3 linked regions of the Schizosaccharomyces pombe genome follow. The gene in region 3 interacts genetically with the main gene of each other region. Each region holds a gene or a part of one and is shown on either strand. Other genes may lie near its edges.

Region 1 (3,945 bases), on a different chromosome or scaffold from region 3:
TGGGATCACGAATTGTTACCTTAGCAATCGGTTCCAAAGTAGTAAGGTGTTCAGAAGGGCTCTGAGGAACTAACGAAAACAAGCTAGCATCGGATGTAAGCTCTGTAATTTTATTAACTGTAAATGGAGCATAAATTTCGGGATTAAGTCCTGGGGGCTTATTCGAATTTTTATAAGCATAATAACCACCTGCGCAACCAATAGCAAGACCTGCAGCTAAGATTTTAGGCAATTTCCTGTAAGTCGAGCTACTCATTGTTTTCTTTGTAAGTTTTACTGTATCAAGGGGAGGTTGGAATTGCGTGTACTTATATTCATCGTTTATGAAAGCCAAATCCAATCACAGGCTTCGTAGGAAGTATCCGATATAATACCAACAAAATGTACTTTGTTAATTACACAACTCAGTACAAAACGTCTGATTATTATCTAAGGTTAATAGTTTTTTAACAAAAATAAACAAATCTTAATAAATTTTCTAATAGATATTTATGGTTCTGTTTTTGTATATTAAGTTCGTAAACCTTCCTTCTATAACAAAAAAATTTCAATAACAGTAAGCCAATAATAAAGGTAAAAAACAGAGCAAAAACAAATTTTAGTAGTTCTAAATAAGCTAGTGATTAAATATATACATCAATGCTCATCAGAACTAACTTGTGAATCATGATGAGAATTTAAACCATGAACTACTAAATAGTCTCTGTAGGCGACATATTCAGTTTCGTTATATCCTAAGATGGATGCAATTTCTTTGCTTCTCTTGCCTTTAATCAAATCTATTTCAGTACTGCTGTAATTAACAAGGGCTCTGCCAATTTCCTCTCCGTTGTAAATAACCGTAACTGCTTGGTGAGCTGAAAAATGGCCATGTACTTTGGTTACACCAACTGGTAGTAATCCTGCTCTATTTGTACGGGTTATAGCCTCGAAAGCCCCACGATCAATTTCCAAACTCCCATGTGATTTAAGGCCGTGCAAAAGCCAAAAGTGTCGATCACGGATCCTTCCTTGCTTTTTGGCTACAAAGTGGGTATGCAGAGGTAATTCAACTGACTCATTTTTATTATCAGAGGATTCCTGACGGATTATATCGAATATACTCGAAGGTTTAGAACCACGACATATTATAACATTTACGCCTGAAGACGTTCCCAAATCTGCAGCGATCAATTTCGTCTTCATTCCCCCTGTTCCAACTCCACTACCGGGTGTGGAAACGTTTGCATTTACCATTGATGTATCATGAATTTTTAAAATAGGCTTAGCGTCAGGGTTGGTACGTGGGTTGTCTGTATACAAACAATCAACATCTGTAAGTAAAAACAAATAATCTGCGTTTATCATGCCAGCTGTAATTGCCGATAAAGTATCGTTATCACCAAAACGGATTTCTTGAACAGACAGAGTATCATTTTCATTTACAATGGGAACTACCCCAAAATGTAGCAACTCGGAAATTGTGTTCGCTGCATTTACATATTGGGATCTCTAAATATTAATAGTTAGTACCCGTCAGTAATTAAAATAATTTTTTAAGTGTCAACAATAATTATCTGAATCTTACCTCGGCAATGTCGTTTCTAGTGATTAAAACTTGCGCAATAGGCTGACGAAGTTGTGTAAATAAGGTATCCCATAAGGAAATTAGTCTTCCTTGACCGACCGCGGCAATTGCTTGTACAGCAGAAAGCTTTGAAGGACGCTTAGGTAAATCTAATCTACGAAGGCCCATTGCAATACCACCACTTGAAACCAAAACGACATTATGACCCAACTTTCGAAGCTTGACAACGGTTTCAACGATTAGTGACAAATTTGAAATTAATGGTTCATGAGTCTTTTCATCACAAATTGACGATGTGCCTAAAATAATGTTAGCAAAGCGTTTGTGATGCCAACAACGAGCAAACAAAGAAATACATATTTGAAAAAGTGAGATATAAAATTCATACATATGCTTTTGTATAGCTTACTATTCCGTGCTTACCAAGTTTGATGACAATTGTGTAAGTCTTATTTGTGCTTTTCGACTTCGGAGACATTTTAAAAAAAATCTACAAAGTTACTGTTGAAATTTATTTTTTAAAAAAAGGATAAATTTTAGTGGAATACGACTTGTCTTCACCTTTACAAATCAACGGCCCATCTAGTAGTGGTAAAATAACGGAAAGCCTTATAGCCCATTGATAAGGAATAATTATATGTAGGATTTGGATTTCAATTTTAAGGATAAAAGCCTGTTAGAGTATATAGCTGTTGAATTTACCTACAACGTTCTATTTAATATTAATTATTGTCTTTAGTTTATCATATACGTAGAAACTAAAAAAGACACAAATCATTAATGGAGAGAAAATCTATTTTTATAAGTACATAAAAAATTGTTAAAGGGTAATACTTTAACCTACATATTCCTCAGTATTTATCGAAAATATCATGAAACTGTTGATTTATTTATAAACCTACGGTCATAAGATTAAGTTTTTTCACCTATAACGTAGCAAACATTTCCAAATCACTAGTGATTACCAGGAAGGAAGGAATTTAGAATGTTAAGGCGAGTTTTAAAATCATCAGCACTGGCCAAAGCGATGCTCTTCTGGCGTAAAAGTTTAGACAAACGCTTAGCTTCTTTATGTACCCAATTTTCATCATTTAAAATCTTCTCAAAAACCTTCTTGTAATACTTAGTCCATCTAGATGAATCCTCTAAGGCTAACTGCTTGACTTTTTCAAGAACAACTTCCTTGGCAGCGTTTGACATATCCAAAAACTCAGCAGCAAATTCATCGAAAGTTGGAATACGGCCGGCAGTAGAAAGTAAAGTGCCATCGGGAGAACGTTGAGTTCCAGATTTCTTATTAATGTACTCGATCAAAGATTCTAAAGAACGATCTCCTTCGTATAATTCAGGCTTATCTTTATCATCTTTAGGAAAGAATTTGATGGTGGGAAAGCTTGCAACTTCATGTAGCCTTCCGATGTCAGCAAAGACGTCTGCATTAATTTTAACAATCTCAACGTTTGGTTCGTTTTTGAATACCTTGCCAAGAGTTTCGTAAGTAGGAGCCAAACGCTTGCAATAACCGCACCAATCCGCATAAAATTCAACTAAAACATCTTTTTTATCGTCCATAACAACCTTGTCAAAATTCAAAGAATCGAGCTCAACTACATTGCTAGGGAGGACAATCTTGCGTTTTTTGATACCAGTTTTCTCAGACACAAATTGAGTCAAACTGTCAACGTCGCGAGCATTGGAGTACTGAACTGGTTCAGATCCATCAGGAGGAAACCAGATCAGTGTTGGAAAACCAGTAATGTGGTATTTATCAGCAACATCGGAGTGTGTATCCGCATCAATTTTGCCAATCAAGACATCATTGTGGTCTTCGAAAAGAGCGCCAAGTTCTTCATACACTGGCGCTAAAGATTTACAATGTCCACACCAGGTGGCGTAAAACTCAATCAATGCTCCTTTTTTAGAAGCTCGGATAGTATTCTCCAACTCATTGAGACTTTGGAGCTCTACAACACCTGATGCAAATACAAGCGCAAAAAGCGCAAATATAACAAAACTCAGCAGAGGTAATCTCATTCTAAGTATTCTACTTTTCCAGTGTCCACAAATACGGGACAGGTACAACAAAAGTATGTATATGTCGTTGGGTAATGTAAGCTGTACGAAGCCGGCTGTGTCATGTTTGAATGAGCTTACTGAGCATCGTTACCCATGTTACCTATCTATAACAAAAGGAATATTCACTAAATTGCACTATTTAGTAGCTTCATTCGTCACTGTATTCTTTATTCCACACTTTGGTAAGCTTATATCGCTAGCGCATCCATGAACGCATTTTAAGACCTACAAATTATTGATTGAACTATTATACAAGAAAGCTCTAGTGAACCTATGTTATTAAGTTCAGTTATTGCTGTTAT
Region 2 (3,207 bases), on a different chromosome or scaffold from region 3:
AATAAATAATTGTGAATACAATAACAAACACTGAAATAAACAACAGTAAGTGTATTCTTTAATTTTCCAAAGAAGAAGTTTTTCTTAATAAAGGTATTCTTATTGATCCTTTTTTATTGTTTTTTTTGAGAAATCGAGTAAATAATTTTTTTGGCGTAATGTGTGATTGTTAAGGTGGAGCAGCAGCCTTGGTATTAGCAATTAAAACATTCGTTCAAATTCTATCATTCAGTAACAACAAAAAATAATTATAGTTGACGAGTCAATAGAAACACTATGAACCTGACTTTTACTCTATATTAATAATCAAATATAGAATAAATACATAGTGTTCCATTACTTGCTATCATACTATGCTATTGAACTTTTATTTATATCTTAAATAAAATCTTTTAGAACTTTTAAGAACAAGTATGTACTTATGTTTGTATAAATATTAAGAACTCATTACAACAAATGAGTCCAATGCAAAAGCTGGCGTTGAGCCAGTAATCTAATTGCCGTCTTTAACTTATCATGAACATTATTGTATTTTTCACATACTATTCTATAAATGAGAATATTACAAAAACAATGAGTTATTATGCTCCTGAGTTGTAATGTACTTAGTTTGCTAATTATCTTCGTTCAATATCTTTGCCGCTTTAGAGAATTCCTGGAGCAAACAGTCCAAAGATTCTCTTCTCTTCTCTTTATGTTTTTCATATTCTAGGTATTCATAATCCTCTAGCTCTTTTGTAGCCTTCAAAGTAACAGTAGACGAACTTGCTTTTTTCTTAGCAAGCGACATTTCAATATGCTTTTTAAAGGATGATATATCAAAACATCGACTTCTTTTTTTCCTCTTCAGCTTCATCAGTTTGTATTGGGAGTAAGCCGATCGATCATCTGACGTCGAAGGATAACTGCAATCAGAAATATCTCGGGTGCTTCTTTGAGGATGTAACTTCAAAGGAATGAGTCCATGGTCTTTTATATCCTCGCTTAAATACATTTCTTGTTCTTTGCTCAAATCCATGATAAAACAACGACCTCGCTTCTCCTTTTCTAAATGTTCACCAATACGAAAAGTCGATCTGACTACCAACGCAAATAGCCTTCCTAAGATTGTATCAGTTGCTTCACTTTTTCAATTTCTCTTTCAAGTCTTTGGATTTCAGAAGTTTCACGCTGTAGAATATTCTCCCTAGCAGACACCTGATCGGTTTGTCGTTTTTCAAGTTGCTGCAATTGCTCTTTCTGTTCCAGTAAAACGTTTTCCAAATTCTCAATTCCTGACATATGTAAGTTGTATTTCTCAACCAGAGTCTCCAAATATTCACGGCCACCTTGCATAGGATATATATCTAGTAGTTCCTCAATACAAGCAACGTAGTCTGCAGGGTTTTCTGATGCCAACCTTTCACTCCAATCCTTCGGTAGAGATTTGAACTCAGCTGCAATTAGTTCTTCCTTCTGAGTATCGCGAATTAAATCAGTTATAGCATGAGTATGTAGCACCGCGTCTGTGAAACGTGCTGCGTTTGGGTTTTCCGGTTCCAAAAGTTTTTCTGATGTAGCAGCAATAGACTGTAAATAATTCAACAAATCAGACATTTATTTAATAAGTCATCAAAAACACTAATTCGACTCGTAATTAGTAAAAGGTATGTTTCAATTCACTTTACCAGAGTTGCCAAAAGTGTATGCAATCTCTGGGTGTGTGCAGGTGGTTTAACCAAAACGTAATAAACGTTTGGTATCTTTGATATAATGGAAATCACCTGTGCCTGTTTTTGAAATTCTGTTCTCGCTCAGCAAATTATTTTAACAAAGGTAAAGCATTGCGTTCATTCCTTGCTATTTTCCTTTATTTGCTACACCGAATCATTCTTACGTTTACGCTTTAGGCACACATTTCTTCAGCTCAGATTATCCATTAATAATTATATGTAAAACTTTTATAAAGGTTAATACACGCTAAAAATTTCGTAATCCTCAGTGCAGTTTTGATGAGTTTGCAATTGTTGGACTCTACTTCGCAATCGTGATCTAATCAAAATCTACAACTTTCTAAGTCTGCCAGATTTATAGAACTAAAGGTTTGAGAATTATCCTTCTCTTAGTTCTTTTATTCATATATACCATCTATTAAAAAGTTGCCTCTTTGGAGGCTATTTGAGGTTTTTCTGACTGAACGTTTCGTCTGTTTTTCATATTCTATCAGCCAAGTTTATTCTATTTAAATATAGATTTAAAAACTTTAATTATCTTAAATAGAAGAGCAGTATATTGGGTATAACTAACAGCTTGAAGCTCTGACATCTTAAAGTGTTGTATTAATAAAAATGCTAGAACGATGTCCCTGGAAATTAATCAGCTCGCCAAGAAATATTCCAGCTCGCTCTTTTCTTAATTCTCGTGGAACTTATCTTGTTTTAAGAAAGTCAAATATATTACCTCTTCAACATATACTGCGGTTTTCCAATTTTGCATCTAAGCAATGTTTCCCACTTAGAAATGGAAATAATTCGGCTTCAAAAGCGTTATGGAATAACAAATCAAAAGAAAAAGAGCCACTGAATACTTCTGTTAAACTTGCTTCCGATGTACCAGATGATAAAAATGTAACAGGACAAATGATTGTTAAGGACATGCTTCAATATATTTGGCCCAAGGGGAAGACTAATTTGAAAGTTAGAGTTGTTTCGGCTCTCGCACTACTTGTAGCTGCCAAAATTCTTAACGTCCAAGTTCCTTTTTACTTTAAATCAATTATCGATACCATGAATACAACACTTGTTCAAGAAGTAGGAGCATTGTGGTCTACTGTAGGAGCTGTTGTTCTCGGTTATGGCTTTGCTAGAATATTTTCTACCGTTTTTCAAGAGTTAAGGAATAGCGTTTTTGCAATTGTGTCGCAAAGCGCTATTCGAAGTGTTTCTAGCAATGTCTATCAACATCTGTTGAACCTTGACATGAATTTTCATCTCTCAAAGCAAACAGGAAGTATTACTAGAGCAATGGATCGTGGTACAAAAGGTATTAGTTTCATTCTTTCCTCCATGGTGTTACACATCATTCCTATTACCCTTGAAATTGCTATGGTGAGTGGTATTCTCACTTACAAGTACGGACCTTCGTTTTCGGCCATTGCTGCTACAACCGTTGCTCTTTATGCTCTTTTTACTGTTAGGACGACATCCTGGAGAACTGTATTCCGTCGTC
Region 3 (9,090 bases):
GATCTTCACCCCTTACGTCCAGTAAGATCTCAAACACCTGCGTATACCCCCATGACTACTAGGATGATGTACAGACAGACGAGAGGTGCGCAGTCGGAGGTAAATTTATCTACGCCTAAGCAAATATATTCCAAGCATTCGCCTCCTTCTACCTCCACTTCATCCATTGTTTCTTCTTCCTATGGAGATGCACCTTCTTATCTGGCACCCTCTAAGCCAAACCGTTCTCCACCCCTCAAACCCGAAGATCCCTTTGCCTCTTTCAATTCTTCTGCTTCGGCCATTGCTGCTGCTTCTAAGAGTGCTGCCGCTTCTGCTTCTGCTCTTTCTTCTGATACAGGTCGTTCTGCTACCATGAATTCCACCACTTTTCCTACCGCTATGAAAAGTCAGTCTACGACTAAACCGACGCTTTCCAATTCGGTATCTAGCCCTTCTATTCAGGTGTCAAACAATCAAAATGCTAACAATAGCACTCCCCTCTCCTTCCATGCGCCAATTCCTCCACTCCATGTTCCTGCCGTCCCCCTTACGTCTGCATCGCATTCATCCAGCGATGGAAAATCGCGCAAGCATCCTAGCCCATATAAACCATACTTAAACTCTTCTCATGATACCCTTGGTTCTTCCACTCGACCGTCTTCCGCTGACACAGCCGGATCACCTGCTACATCTCCTCCGGCAACCGCTGATTCTAAGACAATTGTGTCAAAAACTATCTCAGCTAGTACTACTCAACAAACTGAACCTCTTCAACAGACCACTCCTTCAAGTGATTTTGAATATGCTATTATGAATGAAATTATTTCTAACCATGAACCTGTCTACTGGTCGGACATTGCCGGATTAGATGACGCTAAAAATTCCTTGAAAGAGGCAGTCATTTATCCGTTTTTACGCCCGGAACTTTTCCAAGGATTGCGTGAACCCGTACAAGGCATGCTTCTTTTTGGCCCCCCTGGCACCGGCAAAACCATGCTTGCTCGTGCTGTTGCGACCGAAGCGAAAGCCACATTTTTTTCGATTTCGGCTTCATCATTAACCTCGAAATATGTAAGCAAGTTTTATATTTAACCCCATTCTTAACTAACCTTGATTTAGCTTGGTGATTCTGAAAAGTTGGTTCGAGCCCTTTTTGAAGTTGCGAAGCGCCAGACATGTAGCGTTATCTTTGTTGATGAAATTGATTCCATTCTTTCCGCTCGTAATGACAGCGGTAATGAGCACGAGAGCTCTCGTAGATTAAAAACAGAATTTTTAATTCAATGGTCTTCGTTAACTAATGCGGCTCCGGACAAGCAAACTGGTCACTCTCCCCGTGTTTTGGTGCTGGCAGCTACAAATCTTCCGTGGTGTATTGATGAGGCTGCTCGACGCCGATTCGTTAAAAGAACCTATATTCCGTTACCTGAAAAAGAAACAAGATATAAACATCTTTCTCATTTGCTTCATAATCAAGTACACTGTTTGACGGAGGAGGATCTGGAAGAACTTGTCAATCTTACCGAAGGTATGTATATAAATAATTCGATTGGTTAGTTAACTAACGCCATCTAGGTTATTCAGGCTCTGATATCACTGCTTTAGCCAAAGACGCAGCAATGGGTCCTTTAAGAAACTTGGGTGATGCTCTACTTACCACCAGTGCAGAGATGATACCTCCGATCAGCTTGAATCATTTTAAAGCTAGCCTTCGTACTATTCGTCCAAGTGTCTCACAAGAGGGTATTCATCGTTACGAAGAGTGGAATAAACAATTTGGTTCGCAACGTTAAAACAACTTTGTAGAGTATTCTACCTTTAATATTTTCAAGAAATCATATATTCTTTTGCATCAAAAAGGCAGGGTATCCTTTAATTTATTCAAACTTCCTTTCTCTCTTTTTAATTTTATCCTTTAATGTTTCTTAACGAATCATTTGGGTATCGTTTTTCTGGATATTATGAGAATTACCGTGCATTTAGGGATTGAATCGTGGATGCTGATTTTCATGTGGTTTCAATAACTTTCTTTTGCATAAACTTGGCTTATTACGAATTTTAATTTCTGTTTACCTTCATTTTATTTTCGTCTTTCCTACAACAACTAAAATGTATTCGTGATTTGACTATCGCTATAAACGACATTTTAAATCATAGCCGACTTGACAGCGCCTTTTACAAATGCTCCCCTTTTGTATTTTCCATCAATTCTCTTTATTTTATTTTTTCCATTTATCGTCATATTTATTTCGTTTACATACAGCCTCAACCTATTGGGCTACTTTTTTTCCCTTCACTATTCTCCAATTTTGAACAATAATTATTAGTTATTTAATGTTTGGAAAAGGGTATTGCTTTACTTGAATCGCATTTTTACGGCAATTAACTTATAGCTTTTATTGAAATAACATTTCAACCTCTTGTTTGTATACTGAATTAAATGTTTTAAAATTTATTTAAAGGTCATAATAGTAGCGTTTAAAGCATTGCAGGTTGAAAATGAAATCATGAATATATAGAAATTGGATTTCAGTATTCGATATTGTCACCTTTGTTACTTCTGGGAGTGGGTGTTTCTCACCGAATGGGTTTGACTTGACATGATTATTGAACCACTGCTTTATATATGTAAACGTGTTTTTGACCTTAGGACGTTTACCACCTTTAAAAGAGCTACATAAAGAGCGGAATTATACAATAGTACCGAATGGTTCCAAAGTTGTTTCAATCGAGCCGTTTTAAGGCATTTAAAAAAAGCGAAACAAGTGAATTACAAAAGGGACTAGTTTCTCAGTATGCCTACGAGAGAATTGATGCTGTGAAACGGACTATTGCCGCAATGACTGTTGGCAAGGATGTGTCTAGTCTGTTTCCCGATGTTTTAAAGAACCTAGCTACTCGCGATATCACCTTGAAAAAACTGGTTTATTTATATCTAATTAACTATGCCAAAACACACCCTGATCTTTGTATTTTAGCCGTTAATACTTTTGTAAAGGATTCTGAGGAATATAATCCTACTTTACGAGCTCTGGCAATTAGAACTATGGGTTGCATTCGGGTAAATAAAATCATTGGCTATTTGGCAGATCCGTTGCGAAAAGCTTTGAAGGATGAGCATCCCTATGTTCGTAAGGCTGCAGCGGTTTGTGTTGTAAAGATGTATGACCTTGATCGAGAATACTGTGCATCAAATGGTTTCATCGAACAATTGCAGGCGTTGGTATCTGATCCGAATCCTGTGGTTGTGGCTAATGCAGTCCGCTCACTTGCTGAAATTCATGATCAGGACCCTGAAAAGGGATATTTTAATGTAGTTTACACGATGACAGACAGGCTAATGGTTGCTTTGAGTGAGTGTAATGAGTGGGGTCGGATTACTATTTTGAATTCTTTAGCTAGATTTCGCACTTCTGATATCAAGGAAGCTGAATATGTTTGTGAAAGGGTGGTTCCTCAATTCCAACATGCAAATAGTGGTGTCGTTTTGTCCGCTGTGAAAGTCATAATGGTACATATCCCTCTCTTTTCCAGTGACTTTACAGACTTTCTGTACAAAAAAATGGCTCCTCCTCTTTTGACGCTACTTTCTACGGACTCAGAAATCCAGTATGTAGCCTTACGGAACATTAATTTAATATTACAAAAGAGGCCTTCTATTTTTGATGTCAAAACTCGGGTTTTTTTCTGCAAATATAATGATCCTCTTTATATTAAAATGGAGAAACTAAAGATAATTACAATGCTTGCATGTGACGAAAACATTAACGAGACCATTTCCGAGCTTCGAGCGTACGTTTCCGAAGTTGAACTAGAATTTGTGAAACAAACGATTAAATGCCTTGGAGACGTTGCATTGAAAGTTCCAAGCGTCATCAATGATTGCATCTCCATATTTCTTGAAATCTATGAGTTAAATATTAGTTATATGGTTCAAGAAGTCACGGTGGTGATGGAAACGGTTTTGCGCAAATACCCTCAAAAGATTGACTTATTACTTCCATATCTTTCTCGTGTCATTGAGGAGCTTGGTGACCCTAGAGCCCGTAGTAGTATGGCTTGGATTTTAGGGGAATTTTCACACGTTATACCTACTTCTTCTAAACTATTATCCGAAATGATTTCTACTATGGCGGATGAAGATTTACAGATTCAATTGGCTTTACTGACGGCTGTTGTAAAATTGAGTTTGATGAACGGCAAAGGAAACGATGAAGAACTCGTACAGAAAGTATTAAATTATGCAATTAATCAATCAAGCAATCAGGATTTAAGGGATCGTGCCTTTGCATATCAGCGGTTGTTGACACCTGAAAATGTTCGTAAAGCTCAAAAAATTGTTTGTTGCGAAAAGCCTTCCGTATCTTATAATAACAATCTACCTGAGGCACTTTTGGATGCTCTGTTGTGTGAAATCACAACTCTTGCTTCTGTATACCATAAATTACCGGAATCCTTTATTGGCCAGGGCAAGTTTGGCGCAGACGCAATACAGCGTCGAGCTGTTGAAGAATTGAACATTGAAGAAGCCAATGTTCATGAAGCTATTGAAAAAGGAGCCAACGTTGAAAATTTGCTTGACCTTGATTTTACTGATCCAGGCGCAACGTCTGCCAGTGATTCTCCAATAACCAGCGCACAACCTCAGTCGGGCTCAAATAGTGCAATGGATTTGTTCATGGCTTTTGAGGCACCGAGCACAAATAACGCTGAACCTGTAAAGGCTAGATCGGCAACAGATGATCTGTTAGGGCTTTAAAGATAAACGACAGATGAGTGGCATGATAGATGATGATTTGTTTTATTAATATTTATCTCGTTTCGTTTGTCTAATGGGAAAAACGGGATAAGGTTGATTGATGCACATCTAGTTTATGAAGATATGTTTCAATTGTTGTTTTTTCCCAAATCAGAAAGTCAATTTTAACATAGAAAGCATGTTCTTCTTTCGTTTTTATAAATAAATAAAAAAATATTTGTTAAAATGGATGCGAAGCAAAAATAGGGACTGCTCATTGCAGTAATCATTATCACTGAGGTGCTATCACGAGTGGTACAGATTGTAATGTTAATTATAGGCGTTTTTTAATCTGTACGAATGTAATGATTATCCCTGGCGATATTCGTTTTTGAATTCATTCCAATATATATATATATATATATATACATACATACGTAAGTGAGATGAAAATGTTAAGGAGATTTATGGGTGCTTTAGGCACGTACGGAGAAGCTTTTGATATGCTTTCCTGGAATCACCACTAAACCCAAAGCTCTAGAGAAGCCTGATTTCATTATATTAGTTTTGACGAAATTGGTGAAAAACAGAAAGAGGTACTAGCTGGAACGTTTGTTTTCAATTTAAACAGTAACCCAGCGAAAGTTTACTTGAATTTGAGGGACGCGCTATTCATGAACACATATCAATCTTACCTTTGTTGTATTCTGTGGTATTTGAGAGAATGGCAGCGCCTTCTCTGTCAGTGCACAAGAACTTTCCGATGAATTTTCTCTCATCAAAAATTTCAATATGAACTGACCGATTGAGCCAGCTGGTCAGTAAAATCTCTCCATTTTCCATGATCAAGGAAAATTCATCAAGCTTGGGGGAAGTGAAATCAATAGCAGTGGATATACATACTCTGAAAATACTAAACATTAACGCAATGCACAAAATTTGAACATCGTATTGTAAAAAGTAATGTAGTGCCATTAATATAACGCTATGCTATGATACACTACGTTGCGTATCACTATATGTCATATGTTGGAATACTAGCTAAGATCCGTTTATTGATAATCACGGGTAATTATCCGTCTATATACATAGATACCCGTTAATAACAACTATTTAGAAATATTATAAATAGCGTTACAACTGAACCTCGTTCCTCAGTTCAGTTATGAGCTATATTAGTGATAGGTAACATTATAACCCAGTTAATACAATACCTATACTCAGTTGCTACTTATACAACCTGTGTATTGTAATATAAATAGACCATAAGGAAAACTCACCGCAGTTCTCCGTATCCTTAAATCAGATACCAAACTGCGTAACATTAGGGAGAATTGAAAACTGTGCAATTAACATTGGTATTTTAAACAACGGAATTGGTGCATGTCTTTACATAGTATACGATATCACCTTAAGTATCACAAACTACGTATAATAGAGTAACTGAATGTGGGGTGAGTAATGGCAACGTAATGCTCTATAACATAGCGCGGACTATCCCATTTGCGATTTTATTTTGTATCGATCTTTTAGCATGTTGAAGAGTGTGTTTTGATGAAAGAGAAGGTAGATTACTATAATTACCGATCCTAAATACAACATGAATGTATTCTCATAAAGAATGGTTGAAATTATAATCCAGAAAGTAGGTATTTTTTCCTACTGATTTCAACCCTCTACGCTTCGCATCGTTATTTAGTATACAGTTGGTACAGTAGGATATCAAGGCCGTATACATACTATTTACATCGCGGTATCCAAAAATAGTTTAAACAAATGCCGTGAATAGTTTGTCTTTGCATCCATTTATGCAATTGATAGAGTTTCATGAAAACGTTCTAAGCTTGCCGAGTCAAAAACTGCCTTTCGACGGCAAGACACTAGGCAACTTCGTCCCAATGCAGTACTGGAAATTTCAAGGAGAGGGAATTGTAGCAGTCTAGTGCAAAGTAAAGTGAATTCATGAACCGACTTGTCATGTGAGTTTTATTATTAAGAACTCATTGTATGAGAAAAAAAGAGGGAATCGTTTCGTTAATGGGTTTTTTAAGGGGTTCGTTCATCTCCAATTTACAAGTTTATGGGTCACTTGACATTTTCTCTACTTTAACAAAAACTGCTACGGTTCCTCAATTCCCTGTTGATTGATAACGGATATGAACATAGAGTTGTTGATATCAGAGTAAAGTATTTTAAGCGATCTCGGTTATATACTAAAACATTGGGAAATCTTCCTATTTTGAAAGCCAGCAAACCAGCTTCATTTTAACTATGTCTTTCCAACCAGCGATGTAGGAAAGCTTGGTAACTTTAACTCTCGCAAAGTGTCGATAAGTTTGCGTAACGAGTTGACTGTTTTATCTCGCTTATAAAGGTTAAAACATTTCTACAATAATAGACCGTGCTACGAAACAGTAAAATTATGTGTTTGTAAAAAATACTTATGGTAATAGGTTCAACCGAGCTCCCTCCAGCACATAAAATTCATCGTTATATGAATAGCCAAACTTCATCTCGTTTTTTCCCCTATGATCAAATTTTGTCGAACAGGAAAAAGTTGAGTCGCTTTACATTACAGAAATTTCGATATTATCGCATGTCACGCCATTGAATTTTTGGCATTACTATTGCACCCCGAAAGCTGCACTCAGTCTGACCAAAATCTTAACGGTCACAGGGGCGAAATACAATATACAGCAATCGGGTGCAGCGAAATCACCTATCGTAGTCCATCGGTACTCTATCCTTGTTAATGAAGTAGAAGGCTGGTATCGATAAAATATGTTTTCGAGATGGGCCGAGAGTTCGTTAAAAAAATGAAAAATTTAAATGGGTTGGATATTCTAGCAGTCGATTATTGGCTTTCTTTTCTTTTCTTCCTTTAAATATTATTATTATTAATACTCTTTAATCAATTGCCTCTCTTTTTCTAGAGTTTCCTTTTTTTCTGGCTTACTTTTTCGCATTCTGCCAAGGTGCCCTATTAAACAAAAGGTAATCAATAGTACCCTTCTAATGCAAGAAAAAAGTCTCCAATTCGCTTTTCCCCCTTTGCAATATCAGTAAGCAAATAACTCCATCCAAGCTCATTAGATGGGATAGCACATACACACATGCTACAAACCTTCAATTTTACCCGTTTACCCGACTTTCCAGCAGCACATAGAAGATGGACAAGGGGCATGGCAAATGTGCATGCATATGGCAAACAAATATGTGCAAAATGACATTATTAAACGATCATAGCAGTTCGAAATGGACTTGGTAAAACAGTCAACTCTTGGCTGTTAAGGAGGAATAGTAAGTTATCAGTTTAAGCCACAGTATGTATGGTATGGGAAAAAACATCGGAAATTTGGATAGAAAAAGTATTATGAGTGAGATGAAAAAACTCTTAGAGGAAGTGTTTTGAGTCGGAATATTTATGATAAGTATTGATGTTGAACAGTTTTTCATTTAAATTTTTATTATAATTATTATTAAATTTTTTTTTTTAATTTTTTTTTTTTTTTTATTTACTTTATGTCAGAGTTATGCTTACTTGATGGATTATTGTGTCTAAACTTACAAAATTAATAATTTTATATTAAATTTGAATTTTCTCTTTAATTTACGTCCACTAAATTTAATAATTAAATGAAATAGAATAGAATTGTATATTTCATAATTTTTCGTCATTGCATATCATTTTTTTATTTTTTATTTTATTTTATTTTTTTCTTTATTCTTTTTGATTTATTTTATTTGCTTTTACTCAATGTTGATTTTCTTTTTAATTTATTAATGTTTTCAATTTATCCTCCTTTTATTTGCAAGGTATCTTTTTTTTTTAATACCATACAACACCGTTGCGTATAGAAAACCTTGTGTACATTCATTTTATTCAATTATTCACCCATCATCCACATTTATAACCTTCGAATAAGCTTACGATAGAGTTTGTTTTAGATTTCTGTACTTGTTACTAATCTATGTAAGTTTTCTATGAATAAACCAATTTATATTTTAGCAAATCTATTTTTGTAGAGCGATGCTTTCTCTCGTTTACCCAGGTTTCCCCAAATAGTCAAGTGAGCTTAAAGAGACGACGATCTACATGAAACTAGAAAACAACAAATGAACGTGACAATAAGATTAAATCATAAATAAAAACAATGTTATTTCTGGAAATTAAACGAAAAATCATCACATTTAGGCAATATGCAGAAGATTTTGTCAGATCACTGGATTTAAGTCGTAAATTTTGTTCCTTTCTTCTTTAGTCAATCTTCCTATCTAGTGCGGGTTTTCTTATTAGTCTATGTAAATTCAGAAAAGCAGTATAAAATTTTTAGACGCTCTCTCATCAAGTATATAAAATGGAACACATC

Evidence for each region. A genetic interaction does not mean that the proteins touch.
Region 1: mutations in naa38 (region 3) and pro2 together harm fitness more than expected from each alone (negative genetic interaction), as found in Schizosaccharomyces pombe (one large-scale study listed by BioGRID).
Region 2: mutations in naa38 (region 3) and spc34 together harm fitness more than expected from each alone (negative genetic interaction), as found in Schizosaccharomyces pombe (one large-scale study listed by BioGRID).

What each region holds. Positions count from the first base shown.
Region 1 is NC_003424.3:2,026,708-2,030,652, forward strand, and holds pro2 (glutamate 5-kinase), read right to left. Parts: upstream 2,161-3,945; 5' UTR 2,046-2,160; coding exon 1,991-2,045; intron 1,867-1,990; coding exon 1,568-1,866; exon of another isoform or gene 1,492-1,567; coding exon 637-1,491; 3' UTR 501-636; downstream 1-500. Other genes in the region: cytochrome c-heme-linkage protein Cyc2, read right to left, coding at 1-256; ER protein disulfide isomerase Pdi2, read right to left, coding at 2,522-3,601.
Region 2 is NC_003424.3:3,673,199-3,676,405, forward strand, and holds spc34 (DASH complex subunit Spc34), read right to left. Parts: upstream 1,697-3,207; 5' UTR 1,597-1,696; coding exon 1,102-1,596; 3' UTR 501-1,101; downstream 1-500. Other genes in the region: ABC family Fe transporter Atm1, read left to right, coding at 2,328-3,207. UniProt on the Schizosaccharomyces pombe protein: Component of the DASH complex that connects microtubules with kinetochores and couples microtubule depolymerisation to chromosome movement; it is involved in retrieving kinetochores to the spindle poles before their re-orientation on the spindle in early mitosis and allows microtubule depolymerization to pull chromosomes apart and resist detachment during anaphase.
Region 3 is NC_003423.3:673,234-682,323, reverse strand, and holds naa38 (putative NatC N-acetyltransferase non-catalytic subunit Naa38), read right to left. Parts: upstream 5,588-9,090; 5' UTR 5,564-5,587; coding exon 5,416-5,563; exon of another isoform or gene 5,268-5,415; coding exon 5,197-5,267; 3' UTR 4,742-5,196; downstream 1-4,741. Other genes in the region: knk1 (AAA family ATPase), read left to right, coding at 1-1,053, 1,102-1,510, 1,558-1,775; AP-1 adaptor complex beta subunit Apl2, read left to right, coding at 2,690-4,741. UniProt on the Schizosaccharomyces pombe protein: Component of the NatC N-terminal acetyltransferase, which associates with the ribosome to acetylate nascent protein chains in a cotranslational manner.